Daphnia pulex: one gene and its partners. The protein of the gene in region 2 purifies or fractionates together with the protein of the main gene of each other region. This does not show direct contact. Links are inferred from orthologs where the notes say so. Each region holds a gene or a part of one and is shown on either strand. Other genes may lie near its edges.

What was found.
Region 1: the proteins of eukaryotic translation initiation factor 4B-like (region 2) and eukaryotic translation initiation factor 3 subunit B-like purify together in Homo sapiens (affinity purification with mass spectrometry; 3 studies listed by BioGRID and IntAct, with this or other methods). This does not show direct contact. The link is inferred for Daphnia pulex from reciprocal best matches to the Homo sapiens genes EIF4B and EIF3B.
Region 3: the proteins of eukaryotic translation initiation factor 4B-like (region 2) and eukaryotic translation initiation factor 3 subunit A-like purify together in Homo sapiens (co-immunoprecipitation; 3 studies listed by BioGRID and IntAct, with this or other methods). This does not show direct contact. The link is inferred for Daphnia pulex from reciprocal best matches to the Homo sapiens genes EIF4B and EIF3A.

What each region holds. Positions count from the first base shown.
Region 1 is NC_060026.1:9,963,776-9,967,528, forward strand, and holds the start of eukaryotic translation initiation factor 3 subunit B-like, read right to left. Parts: upstream 2,321-3,753; 5' UTR 2,196-2,320; coding exon 2,063-2,195; intron 1,985-2,062; coding exon 1,789-1,984; intron 1,724-1,788; coding exon 1,417-1,723; intron 1,336-1,416; coding exon 940-1,335; intron 873-939; coding exon 625-872; intron 564-624; coding exon 319-563; intron 258-318; coding exon 88-257; intron 27-87; coding exon 1-26. Other genes in the region: DNA-dependent protein kinase catalytic subunit-like, read left to right, coding at 2,903-3,011, 3,081-3,259, 3,330-3,519, 3,639-3,751.
Region 2 is NC_060026.1:16,025,398-16,029,150, reverse strand, and holds the start of eukaryotic translation initiation factor 4B-like, read right to left. Parts: upstream 2,470-3,753; 5' UTR 2,227-2,469; coding exon 2,214-2,226; intron 1,943-2,213; coding exon 1,805-1,942; intron 1,732-1,804; coding exon 1,562-1,731; intron 1,488-1,561; coding exon 1,371-1,487; intron 1,311-1,370; coding exon 1,070-1,310; intron 1,007-1,069; coding exon 554-1,006; intron 488-553; coding exon 202-487; intron 138-201; coding exon 53-137; intron 1-52. Other genes in the region: V-type proton ATPase subunit F-like, read left to right, coding at 2,687-2,737, 2,811-2,892, 2,963-3,045, 3,106-3,228, 3,289-3,318. UniProt on the Homo sapiens protein: Required for the binding of mRNA to ribosomes. Functions in close association with EIF4-F and EIF4-A. Binds near the 5'-terminal cap of mRNA in presence of EIF-4F and ATP.
Region 3 is NC_060026.1:6,108,969-6,112,721, reverse strand, and holds the start of eukaryotic translation initiation factor 3 subunit A-like, read right to left. Parts: upstream 2,450-3,753; 5' UTR 2,008-2,449; coding exon 1,959-2,007; intron 1,839-1,958; coding exon 1,639-1,838; intron 1,574-1,638; coding exon 1,425-1,573; intron 1,364-1,424; coding exon 1,129-1,363; intron 1,061-1,128; coding exon 152-1,060; intron 59-151; coding exon 1-58. Other genes in the region: zinc finger protein jing-like, read left to right, coding at 3,239-3,681. UniProt on the Homo sapiens protein: RNA-binding component of the eukaryotic translation initiation factor 3 (eIF-3) complex, which is required for several steps in the initiation of protein synthesis.

The DNA of each region.
Region 1 (3,753 bases), about 6.1 Mb from region 2:
GACCACAACCAGTAGGCATTATCGACCTGTCAAAGTACAAGAGATCAAACATTGTCAAAAATGAATACATTGCTTGATTTTTGTTACCTTGTGACCCCACCAGGAAACAGCAGTTGCGACATACCGACCGGTTGGATCCCACTCCACATCAGTAGCCATGAAGTGTTCGCCCGTATTCATGACGGTAAAATCATGGGTGTCGACAAATTCCAATGTGCCAGACATGGCACGTAGGCCGGCTAACACAATGAACTGGCCTGTTCGATAAAGTATAGTAAGGATTTTAGAATTTTAACATTAAATTTAATGTTTTCTTACCAGAAGGGGCCCAGTACAACTGGTTGCAAGGTTTACGTTCGTATTTTTTAACCATCGTAGGCGTTTGTCCAGTTTTAACTTCGAAGAAAGAAACAGAAGTACTCGGTGGCTCACCGTGGATGACGGCAAACTTAGTACCAACTGGCTCCCACGCAAAAGCTTGAATGGTTTCCTTGATTTCTACCGAGTCGACTGGAATTTGTTTTTCTCGCATGTGGAAAACTTCCAAATTGTAGTAGATACCGCTATCAAAGGGGGGAAAATTAGCTTTTATATCTATTAATTGAAGGAGTGGCATCTCATTACCTGTATTTGATATCGGACTTATCTTTCCTTAATTTGGCATAGCGGTCGACTTTCACACACAAATAGTCACCTGATTTTTGCCAATACATTTTACAGTCGGCAACGCTAAACAAATTTTTGACTCGCACTTCATTGCGACTTGGCAACTCAAGAAGTGTGACGCGAGCAGGAGTATCTTTCTCCTCTCCGACCCAATAAGCAATCGTATTGTCTGTTGGGCTCCAGGCAAAATCTCGAATTCCTTGAACCTATCAAAATGTAAGAGTGCATGTTAGGAAATGGTTATTAGAAGATTTTGTAAATCGTGTACGTTACTTTGATCGACTTCTTGTCTAAAAGGCCAAATGATGGGGTTTCATAAACAGAAAGCATGTCGATTCCCATCCTAGCGAAATACTTGTCATCATGCGACCACTTAAAAATGGGCAGGGCTTGAGATTTATCGGCATTAAAAGCTCGTCGCTTAAGACCGCTCAACACGTCCCAAATGATGATGGCTTGTGGTTCATCAGTTGCTCTTGAATCAGCCAGTGGACTAAAAGATACTAAATACTTCTCACATGGTGAGAAGTCAATGAATTGCACTCCTGGATGACTGAAGCGCACAATTTGTTGAAACTTTTCACCACCCCAAAGAGCTATACCCTTTGCATGGAAAGTGGCTAGATAGGTGCCAAGAGGTGACCACCGCACTAGAGTCTCAGTCCATCTCTGTGAAGATAATTATTGGTCAGATAAAATTTTAATATGAAAAAAAAAAATAATAATAATAATAAAGGTGAAGTGACTCACAGGTCTTTCTTCCAGCAGAGAGGGTTCAGGTTGAGTGTTCAAATAAACAGCAACTTTGTCTCCCTGCTCATACACAACTGAGAATTGGTCACAAGCGTCTTGATCAAGAAGATAGTATTGAAGGCATCCTTGCTCCTTAAACGGCTGAGGAATTGGATTTTCCCACTTATCAAGAATGTCATTATATTTTTCGAAGTCAGTAAGTAAGTTCACAGTGAAGGTGTGATTTTTGTCGAACTTGTAACCATTAGTTCCTTTAAGAACTTCCAATGCTTCATTGGCATTTGAGTACTCTATGAAAACATGGCTTCAAAAGTATATTATGTTAAAATTGGGCTGACACAAAAGTTAAAAAAAAAACTAATAAATTACCCTTTAGTTGATCCATCAGCATTAAGAGGATAATATTCATTAGTTATTTTTCCAAACTTTTGGAATAGTTTTCTCAGGACATTTTGAAGTTTTTCTATCCTCTCAGTACCAACCTGAGGAACACCGTCAATAACAACAATTGATTCGACTCCGTCGGTTTCTTTCGGACGCTGCCTGATGAGGTCACCTATAAGATCTACATTGACAGTTAGCAAGATTCAATGCCGGCATGCTCAGGAAAGCCATATGGCAAAAGGTAAGTTACAAACGGTACCTTCTTCAGAAATATCGTCCTCATAACCTTCCGGATCATCGAAGTTGGGCTCGTCTTCTAATTCATCGTTTGGGTTAGAATCCGAGTCATCGTTATTTTGCTGAGCTCGATCATTTTCTTTTCGTCGAGCCATGATGAAAAACAAGCACTGCACACCGGACACGAGTCTTTAATGGCGGAAGCCTGTGCCAGATTTCAACAAATAATACTACCATCGAGAAGGCCAAGGCAACCACCATCCACCAATCAGGCAATCACCATTCACCAAACACCATAGGTAACTTGGTGACTAGCCTAGCCTGTCAGCTAGAACGGGATCTTCTGAAGGGAAAATAATTTAGATTTTTTATTATTATTATTTTTTCTTGATTTTTATTCGCATTATAATCATACATTGGATTTTTTTTTGTTTTCAGAAAATAGCCTACATTTATTCATTTCCAAAAAAGTTGAATCCTTATACCCATTTGAGGAATGAGTTGGTAATAATTTTTTTAAATATTTTTAAAGTAACGTAATGATATTTTAAAACCATGATAGCGAATATTTTACAAATATGTATTACGCCTAACTATCAGTCATGGCAAATATGCCTACGCAAAAGCACAATTCTAGCAGCCGAATCATCATAACCCGGGAGGGATGAAAACATCACTTAGGCCTATAACCTACGTGAGTTAACGTTGATCGCAAAATTTTGAAGAACCACTACAATTGAAAACTTGTCTTAACATTTAAATATGTATGATTAAAGTTTTAAAGTCGTAAAAATTGCGAATAATCGAGAAGAAGTTGGCCTTTTAAAAGTGTCCGGTTGTCGGTAACATCGAGGAATATAAAATGGACAGCGTATTGGAAGGTTATCTATTTCAGATGCATTCTGGAACGTGCAGCGATATGCTGGAGCAAATCAAGGATATTAAAGATGTTGTATCCAAAACCAAAGACAGTAGGTTTCAAATATTGGTCCCATCAAAAACATGTTAATCAATTCATTTACATTGTATTTTTTCTAAAGATTCTGTTGTCTCGGCTTTACTAAACAAAGAAATTGGATTAATTTCCTTGTTGTCCAAGTTCAGAGATTCTCAAAAGGATGACAACTTTGCAGAAATAATAAATTGTGCCCTGTCAATTTTGGGTGATTTACTGGAAAAATTTGGAGAATCCATGAGCAACCATTTAGTGGTTATTAAAGTATGGAAAATAATTAATATTACCTAGCTATGTGTAAAAACCTAATAGTATAACTTTCATTTACCTTAAGAATTTAGCATTGATGTACATGAACTCCAAAAATTCTAAGATACGAGGAGCTTGTTATTTTGTTCTTTGCCAAGTTGTTATTACTGCTCAAACTTCACCAACAGAAATATTAGAAGAACTGAATTTGCCAGCCCTTTCTAATATGCTTTTTGAAAAAATGGCTACATCTTCTGATGATAGTTCAAGCAAAGGTGATTAATTAAAAAGACTATTGTATAATTACCCTGTTTGTTATGCAGATTGTATTATTACTGTGTATGCATAGATATGTATTTCTATGGTTATTTATAATATTTATGTTTTACTTTAGCGAAAATGAATTTCCTAGTACTCCTAGGCAGACTGGCCCAGTACTTTCCTAGTACACTGAAGGAAAAGGCCAGTCGCATCATTAACCAACTCCTTTATGAACTTGAAAAGGAGGT
Region 2 (3,753 bases):
TAGGTGCTAATTTCAAAACTAAAAGCCAAAGCGAAATTCAATTCAATCTCACCTCGCTAGAGCGCCCGCGCCCTCCGCTGGGACGTTCAGAGGAACGGCCACCACTGCCATGGGAATTATCGCGTTGATTTCTATCACTGAAATTTAAAAAACAAACAAATTAAGTTTCGAGAATCAAATAAAACATTTGAATGAGCTTACTCTTGGCGATCAGTTTCACGTCCACGGAGAGGCGGTTCCCGCTCCTTCATCTGTTTCTCCTTGAGCCGTTCTTCAATGGCGCGTTCACGTGCCGCAGTATCCACCGGCCTGGCTGCACCGAAAATGGATGCAGAGCTGGGTGGAGCCGCTGGAGCTGGGGCAGCAGCAGCAGCTGGCCGTTCAGTTATGGGAGCAACAGCAGCAGTTGGTTCATCGGCAACGGAACCCTCTTCAATTGGGACAGATCGGGGTTTCAGAGATAACTTTGGTCTTTCCTTGGTCGGTTCTAAATAATCAAAATGAAAAATCTTATTAACAATCCAATGCAAAAAGGGAGAACGTGTCAACTTACCTCCAGCAGCGCTTGGGCGTTCACTTCGCTGCATTTCGTCACGGTTGAACGACGAGGGACCATCTCGCTCACGTCCAAAAGAGGAGGGACCGTCCCGGTCACGTCCAAACGACGAGCCGCCTTCTCTGTCTCGACCGAACGAAGAAGGACCGTCACGTCCGCGACTGAATGAAGACGGACCGTCTCTATCACGTCCACCAAAAGATGAGCCACCTTCTCTATCTCGTCCTCCAAACGACGACGAGCCTTCTCGGTCACGTCCACCAAAAGATGAAGGACCATCGCGATCGCGACCACCAAAACCTGAGCTTGGAGGACCGTCTCGGCCGCCACCGAACGAACTAGAAGGACCGTCTCTCCTGGGACCAAATGAACTTCTCTCAGACGAAAGAGCTGAGCCGGGTGGGCGATCCCTTGGATTGAATGAAGCAGAGTACCGTTCGCCAGCAGGTTCTAATTTCAAACAGAATAGTTAAAGACATTGCTGGGAAATCAAATTTGTTGAATCAAATTTACCTCGTTCCATCCTGTCTCCTCCTCTGTCACCACCCCTGAATCCACCACCACCACCGCGATCCTGGCCTGGAGGAGGTCCCTCCCTTGGTGCATTACGCCAATCGGAAGGGGTACGATCTTCCCTTTCCTCGTCATTGCGAGTAGGACGGCCACGACCTCGCCCCATACCGCCAGCGCCCTGTTCTTGATCACCATCTGCGCCGCTAGCAATGTCCACTCGGATTTTGCGGTTCTTAATCATCTGCAAAACAAGGACAAATGGAAACACTACAAGGTCAAATAGAAAAATTTGCAAAATTACCAATTCGTTCATCGTAAGGGCGTCAACTAAATCTTGCCTAGTTTCAAATTCAGCATAACCAAAGCCTCTCAGTCTGCCACCATCACCACCTTCTCTTGGCAGACGGACAGATTTAACCTAGGTAACCAGAAAAAAAGAGTATGAAATATCAGTAGAGAAAAAGTTGCTGTTGTGAAAGCGCAATTTCTTACCGAAAGCCCATGGAAGAACTTGGATACATCCTCTACTTCAATATCATAAGGTAGATTGGCTATATAAGCTGTGTAAGGTGCATTGTTGGGTATCCTAGATTCATCAATGTCTGATCCCCTGGCTGCCCGTGGTGCTGTGGGCAACAACAGCTTCTCCTTGTAAATCGCCTCTACAAATAAAACAAAAAATTACATTGTTGATACTCAATATGTCAGCGTATTAAAACAAAATATTTGACTTGCCATCTTCCATTTCATCAGCCCAACTGGTTTTGGAGGGTGCCATGACGACAGCTTCTCCAGACCTGGAACCTCCATGGTCGTCAGAGAGGAACTCATTCAATGACAGGACCTTTCCTTTGGATTTCTTCCCTTTTTTGGCTGAAATTCAACAGTTAAAAATTCACATCATTATTCAAGGCACCATTTTTAATAATCTATACACGACAAATCAGAAGCGAACAAGTGCCACATGTGAATTTAACCGGAAAGATTTCTAACGTCACTTTATCCGATTGTTACCACAAAAATAAAAATTACTCCACGACGTAGACGAAATTATGGAAAACAATTATTCGACATCACCGGTCTCTTTATCGAGCTTAAAACAGTAAATATCAAGAAAATGCCACGAGGAGAAATTTTTCCTTACCGGAAGCAGCCATGATTTTTTCTGAATGCACTCGTCAGTGCGCGGACTACTAGAGCTAGAGGACGGGACTCGTTGGACAATTCTTATGTTTGTCACGTAATTTTTTTTACACAATTAAATCATAGAAGTTTAAAAATCCTGTTTCAATTTTGATTTAGTTTCAGTATCTAAAATGAGCAGTTTACGAAATATTTGTTATTTAATATTGGTTGCCGAACCCAAGCCAACAAGTTTTCTGCCTCGAATATCTAGTTGCCGAAACGAATGTAAATGTAGTTGCCACCAATCTACACGAGGTGGCGTTGGATGGCTTCTTCTGCTGCTATCGATTAATAAAATGAATCGATTCACGATTGAAAGTCGGTGTGTTTTTTTTTCACGAGTCATGTGACAGTTCCCTTTTGACTAGAAACTAGAAAGAGAAGTCTTAGCTCAATTCACTTTAGTTCTCTTTCAATTTACTATACACAAAAATGGCCATTGCTGCAGCGAAAGGAAGGCTTATAGCCGTCATCGGTGATGAGGTAAATATATTAAAAATGATTTTATCGAACTTCATTTGGTTTCCAAATTTTAAAAAACAATGATTAATTGCAGGACACTTGTGTTGGATTCCTTTTGGGTGGCATTGGAGAGATGAACAAAAACAGGCAGCCCAACTTTATGGTCGTAGACAAGAGTACGAAACAACTTGAGATTTTGAGGTGGGAGAATGAAGTAAAATTTTCTCCTTGTTATGCTTCATACAGATACGAGCATCAGCGAAGTGGAGGACTGCTTCAAGCGCTTCCTCAAGAGAGATGACATTGACATCATTCTCATCAACCAGAATGTGAGTTTGAATGGAATGAATTGATTACGTGTTTGCTCACTTCCTCGCTTAATCATTCAGGTAGCAGAGATGATCAGGCACGTGATTGACAACCACAATGAACCAATTCCAGCAGTGCTCGAAATTCCTTCCAAAGATCATCCTTACGACGCGTCAAAAGATTCCATTCTCCGTCGTGCCAAGGTGTGTTTTTATTTTTAATTCAATAATCACTGATCAAATCATTTCTTTTCGTTTTTCTAGGGAATGTTTAGCGCCGAAGACACCAAGTAATAAAAGTCCTACTGCCATCGGCGCGTAGAATATATTCCCCAATTAGTTTTTGTTTGTTGTTGGGTGTTTTTCTTTCTTTTTCCTTGATGCATTCCTGTCCAGTCTTCATTGTTAATTGAACCTTAAATAGAGCAATCAACAGTCTTTTATGTACACAACTTTCCGCTCCGGCAATCGATTGAAATTATCGACCCCCTCGTTTCCCCAAAAAGAAAGTTTAGCCAATTAGGAGATTCACGTCAGAAAAGATGGGGCCAACTTGGGAGATCTTTTATCAATCAGCGCTTCTTTGTTGGGAGGAAAAGTAAGTATAGTACGTAATTGGATTTTTTAGCCTGTTGAATATTTTCTTTAAAAAAACCCAAATTTGTGCAAGGAAAAAGATTTTGAAGGAAGTTTAGTTGCTATGACACCTGCCAACGTGATCATCAAGCG
Region 3 (3,753 bases), about 9.9 Mb from region 2:
TGTTGAGAACGCAGTACATTGTAATCAAATGCGTACGTATCTGTTCAGAAGGCATAGCCTAGAAAAGTTATAAAATCAGAAAGAATTAAAAAAAACACAAAAAAAAGATAAAGCTAACATTTCATTGGTCATGACTTTTTAACATTTCTACCTGTAGAGTCGGTCCTTCTGGTAAATCTTCGCGTTGAGCTTCAAATAATTCAGTGCCGAAGTGAAGACAATTGTTACGGTGATCAATCCTTATTTGCATATCGGTATGACGGACTGCATTAACAACAATGCGTTCCAAGTCAAATGGAGATGCAAAGGGAGCCAATTGCACCAAACGTTCGAATCGGATAGTCGAGTAGAGCTGGGCTATTTGCTTTACCAATCTGGTAAGCGTGATTTCTTCCAAGGCATGAATATATTGGTTCAAATAAGATGTCTCTTCGACTTCGGCCATAAACGCTAGAATGTTCTTGACTTTGTTACATAAATGTAATGGGTCGAACTCTACCTCCAAGAAATGATACAACTGCTGCAACTGAGGCATTGCAGTAGCTACCACACCAAGGCGAACCAAATCTTTAATCAATCCATTACGTGTAGGAGGCTGATTCAAATGAAGAAGAGTAGCTAGTTTTTGCGTTTTTTCCATAGCACTTTTCTCGGTTTCAATGAAACGATCAAATTCAGGGTGTGCAGAGGGTAATGGTACTGCTAAAGTTGCAACAAGTACGCGCGATCCAAGTTTTTGAAGTTCTTCAGTCGTAATATTTTTTTTCAAGTCCCGTGACAGTTGGAAAAGCCGAAACAGAGCTGCAGCGTGGAACAAATGATTTCCAGACTTTCCGAAAACGAGGGCAATTTTCTGATAGTATTGAGCCATTTGTTGAGGACGGGGCATTTTCTTAGCCAATATCATTAATCCGTGAATGTCTTCAATGGCTTTATATGCTTCTTGCCACAACTCCATTTGAATGGCGAAATCAAGTTGCAAGAGTCTGGTTTCCAAATTCATTTGTTGAGTCTCAGGATTACTCAAATTAACAGCAGTTACAGATGGGGTTCCTTTCACCTATGATATAAATATTGTCTTTTAACACATTTCTAAACAAATAATAATTTAAAAAATAATTTTCTTACCATCAAAGCAAGATGAGACCTTAGATTCTCGCAGAGCTTACGAAACTCGGTTTTCCGAGCATACTTCAGACAAAACTTGAAGGCATGTTGAGCAGTATCATGGTACAGTTTCTCAACCCTTGAATTAGTTCGAAGCAACTCTAAACACTGTCTGTATGACTCCCAAAGAAATTTGACCCATGGAGTCAAAATCACACGGTCAGACCTGTCTTGGGCATCTTCTCCACTGACAGCACTGAGCACAAAGAAATCATGATAACATAATCAACCAGAAAAAAATGCAATGAATTGACTACCTCAGAAGTATACTTTCAGGAGTAGCAACATTGTCCAGATCATCAATATCCACAACAGCTTGATGGGATTCTTGACGTGCTGCTTCTGTTTTTTCCTCAGCTAAATTAAGGTAGAATCGTACAACATTTTCTAATGATGCAACATTTACCTGTAAATAAACAACAATCATCATGAGTTTGTTAGAAGGAAAACATGAAACAAGTTAATCCTTACAGATTGACACATGTTACGGTATTGGAACAAGCCTTCCTTAGCCATGTACGCCTTTTTCAAATCCACACAAAGTTCCAAGTATTTGATCATTATGGGTTCTAGCACTTTTTCTGAATAAGTTGTTGACCGATATTTCTTGCTCTTAATAACTTCAGCTAGGGCATCCAAGGCTCGAATAGGTTTCCCCACTTCAATGAACTCTGTAACAGAAGTAACAGCATTTTGTCAATAAGCGAGCGATATAAACCGGTGAACACAACATTTAAGAAATCAACTTGAGTAGTAATTAGTAAAGTACTCGTGAATAACAAAATACAGACCATTTGCTCTTTTGAGTGCATTTTCAGGTCGTTGATAGAAACGCGACATTTTTATATTCTCATAACACGTCGATCAGCAATCAGAACGCTTCTCTTCGCTGGCAATTGCTCAAGCAACGTGGCTGGGGCAAGAAAATGGCCGTCCAAGTTTTTAGACAACTGTGGTTGGGTTTGGTTAACTGGTTAACTATTCAAGCTGACTTCAGCTACGGGCCACAAAGCGCATGGCCCTGCAATGTGTTTGATAGAAATCGTCCCTAGGTTATTCTGCGTTGCCATTTTACAATTCTCAACAACTTTTTCCACAATTAGCAGCAATTAGTAACATATTTGCTTCTTGTTACGAATTGCGAATGTCGATGCCCACCACTACCCATGATGTTGCACCTTAGAATACCCTTTTGTTTTATATTTGGATGTTTTCACATTAAAGATGGTCGGGCTCTCTTTCTAATCTTCATTAATTTTCATCCCCAAACAGGAAAAAAACTTGTGCGTTTTTTCTTAGGTTGTTTGTTTTTCTTGTTAACAAATTTACCAGGTTTGTTCTGGCAGGTTCTGGCAAAATGTCCCATTATTCCAGACATGTAAAATACTTGGTCGAGTGTAAAAAAATAGATGCGTGCAACCCTGGTGTGTACTGAGAACTTTAAGGCCATCAAAATATAGTAGACCAATTGAAAAACAATGGATACAGATTACAGATACAGAACAGGTCTGGACGCATTCAACGGTCAGTTTGTTTTTATAAGATCTGTAATTCTGTATGATTCTTTTCTATTTACATAATGATTGCAATCTTTCAATATTTAGGCAATTCATCAACAATTGGAAATACTTGAAAACTTTTCCGACAGTAGCGCCGGAAGATAGCAAGGCCCTCTATGAGGAATTATCAACATAACACCAGGAGTCCTGTTTCTCAGATGCCTTGAAGTCGCTTGAAGTTGCAGGAAACTCAAACACAGCAATATAGTATTTTGTTATTTTTGTTACTTAATAAAAAAATGCAAAATTTATGGACACACAAAGTTTTTTTTCTTATTCCTCTTTACACTAAATCAATTTAAAGTTAGGAACGAAACGAGATATTAAAAATATTCGCTTTTCGACCGCTAGAGTGCTCTACGCTGGGAGTTTTTTCTCTGTGTGGGGTGGGCATTGTGGATAGTCGAGGTACCCTTAAATCGCGTGTGTGTGTGTGTGTGTGTAGTCTGAAGTGTCAAATAGGGACTGGTTTGTGTAGTCGTGGTAGAGGATTTTTCCTAGCGTCATTCAAGATGGCAGATTCAGCGTTGGAATCAGCAAAGATTGTGACTCTTTCGTATCAATCCAAAGTTAAAGACAACGATGTAAACGATAGTTCTTCTACTACTAACGTGAAAACCCCTGCTTGTGGCAGCTTGCATCCATCGTCACCCAGTCGAATAATGGATGGTGTGGCAACGGGCAACGTGCCGTTAGACAACCAAGCGGCCTCTACAACAAAGAAAACAGCGGATTCTGACAAGAAGAAAAAGAGTAAGATGGCCGATGAGGCTAGAAGCAATTCACGGGCGTATGAAGCAATCCGACTGACTAGTGGTGGTGAAACTCGAGAAATGTCTGTTAACGAACATTTTGATGGTCAACAACGTCGGTCACTCATAACATCGGCTCTCGTCAATGATGAAAAGAAACGTCGGCGCTCAGATAGATACGACAGTTCAGAAAGTTCAGACAGGTCAGTAAATCTAAAAGATAATTAATGAAAGTAACAATAACACAAATGAAATAATTCTCTTTGCAATAACTG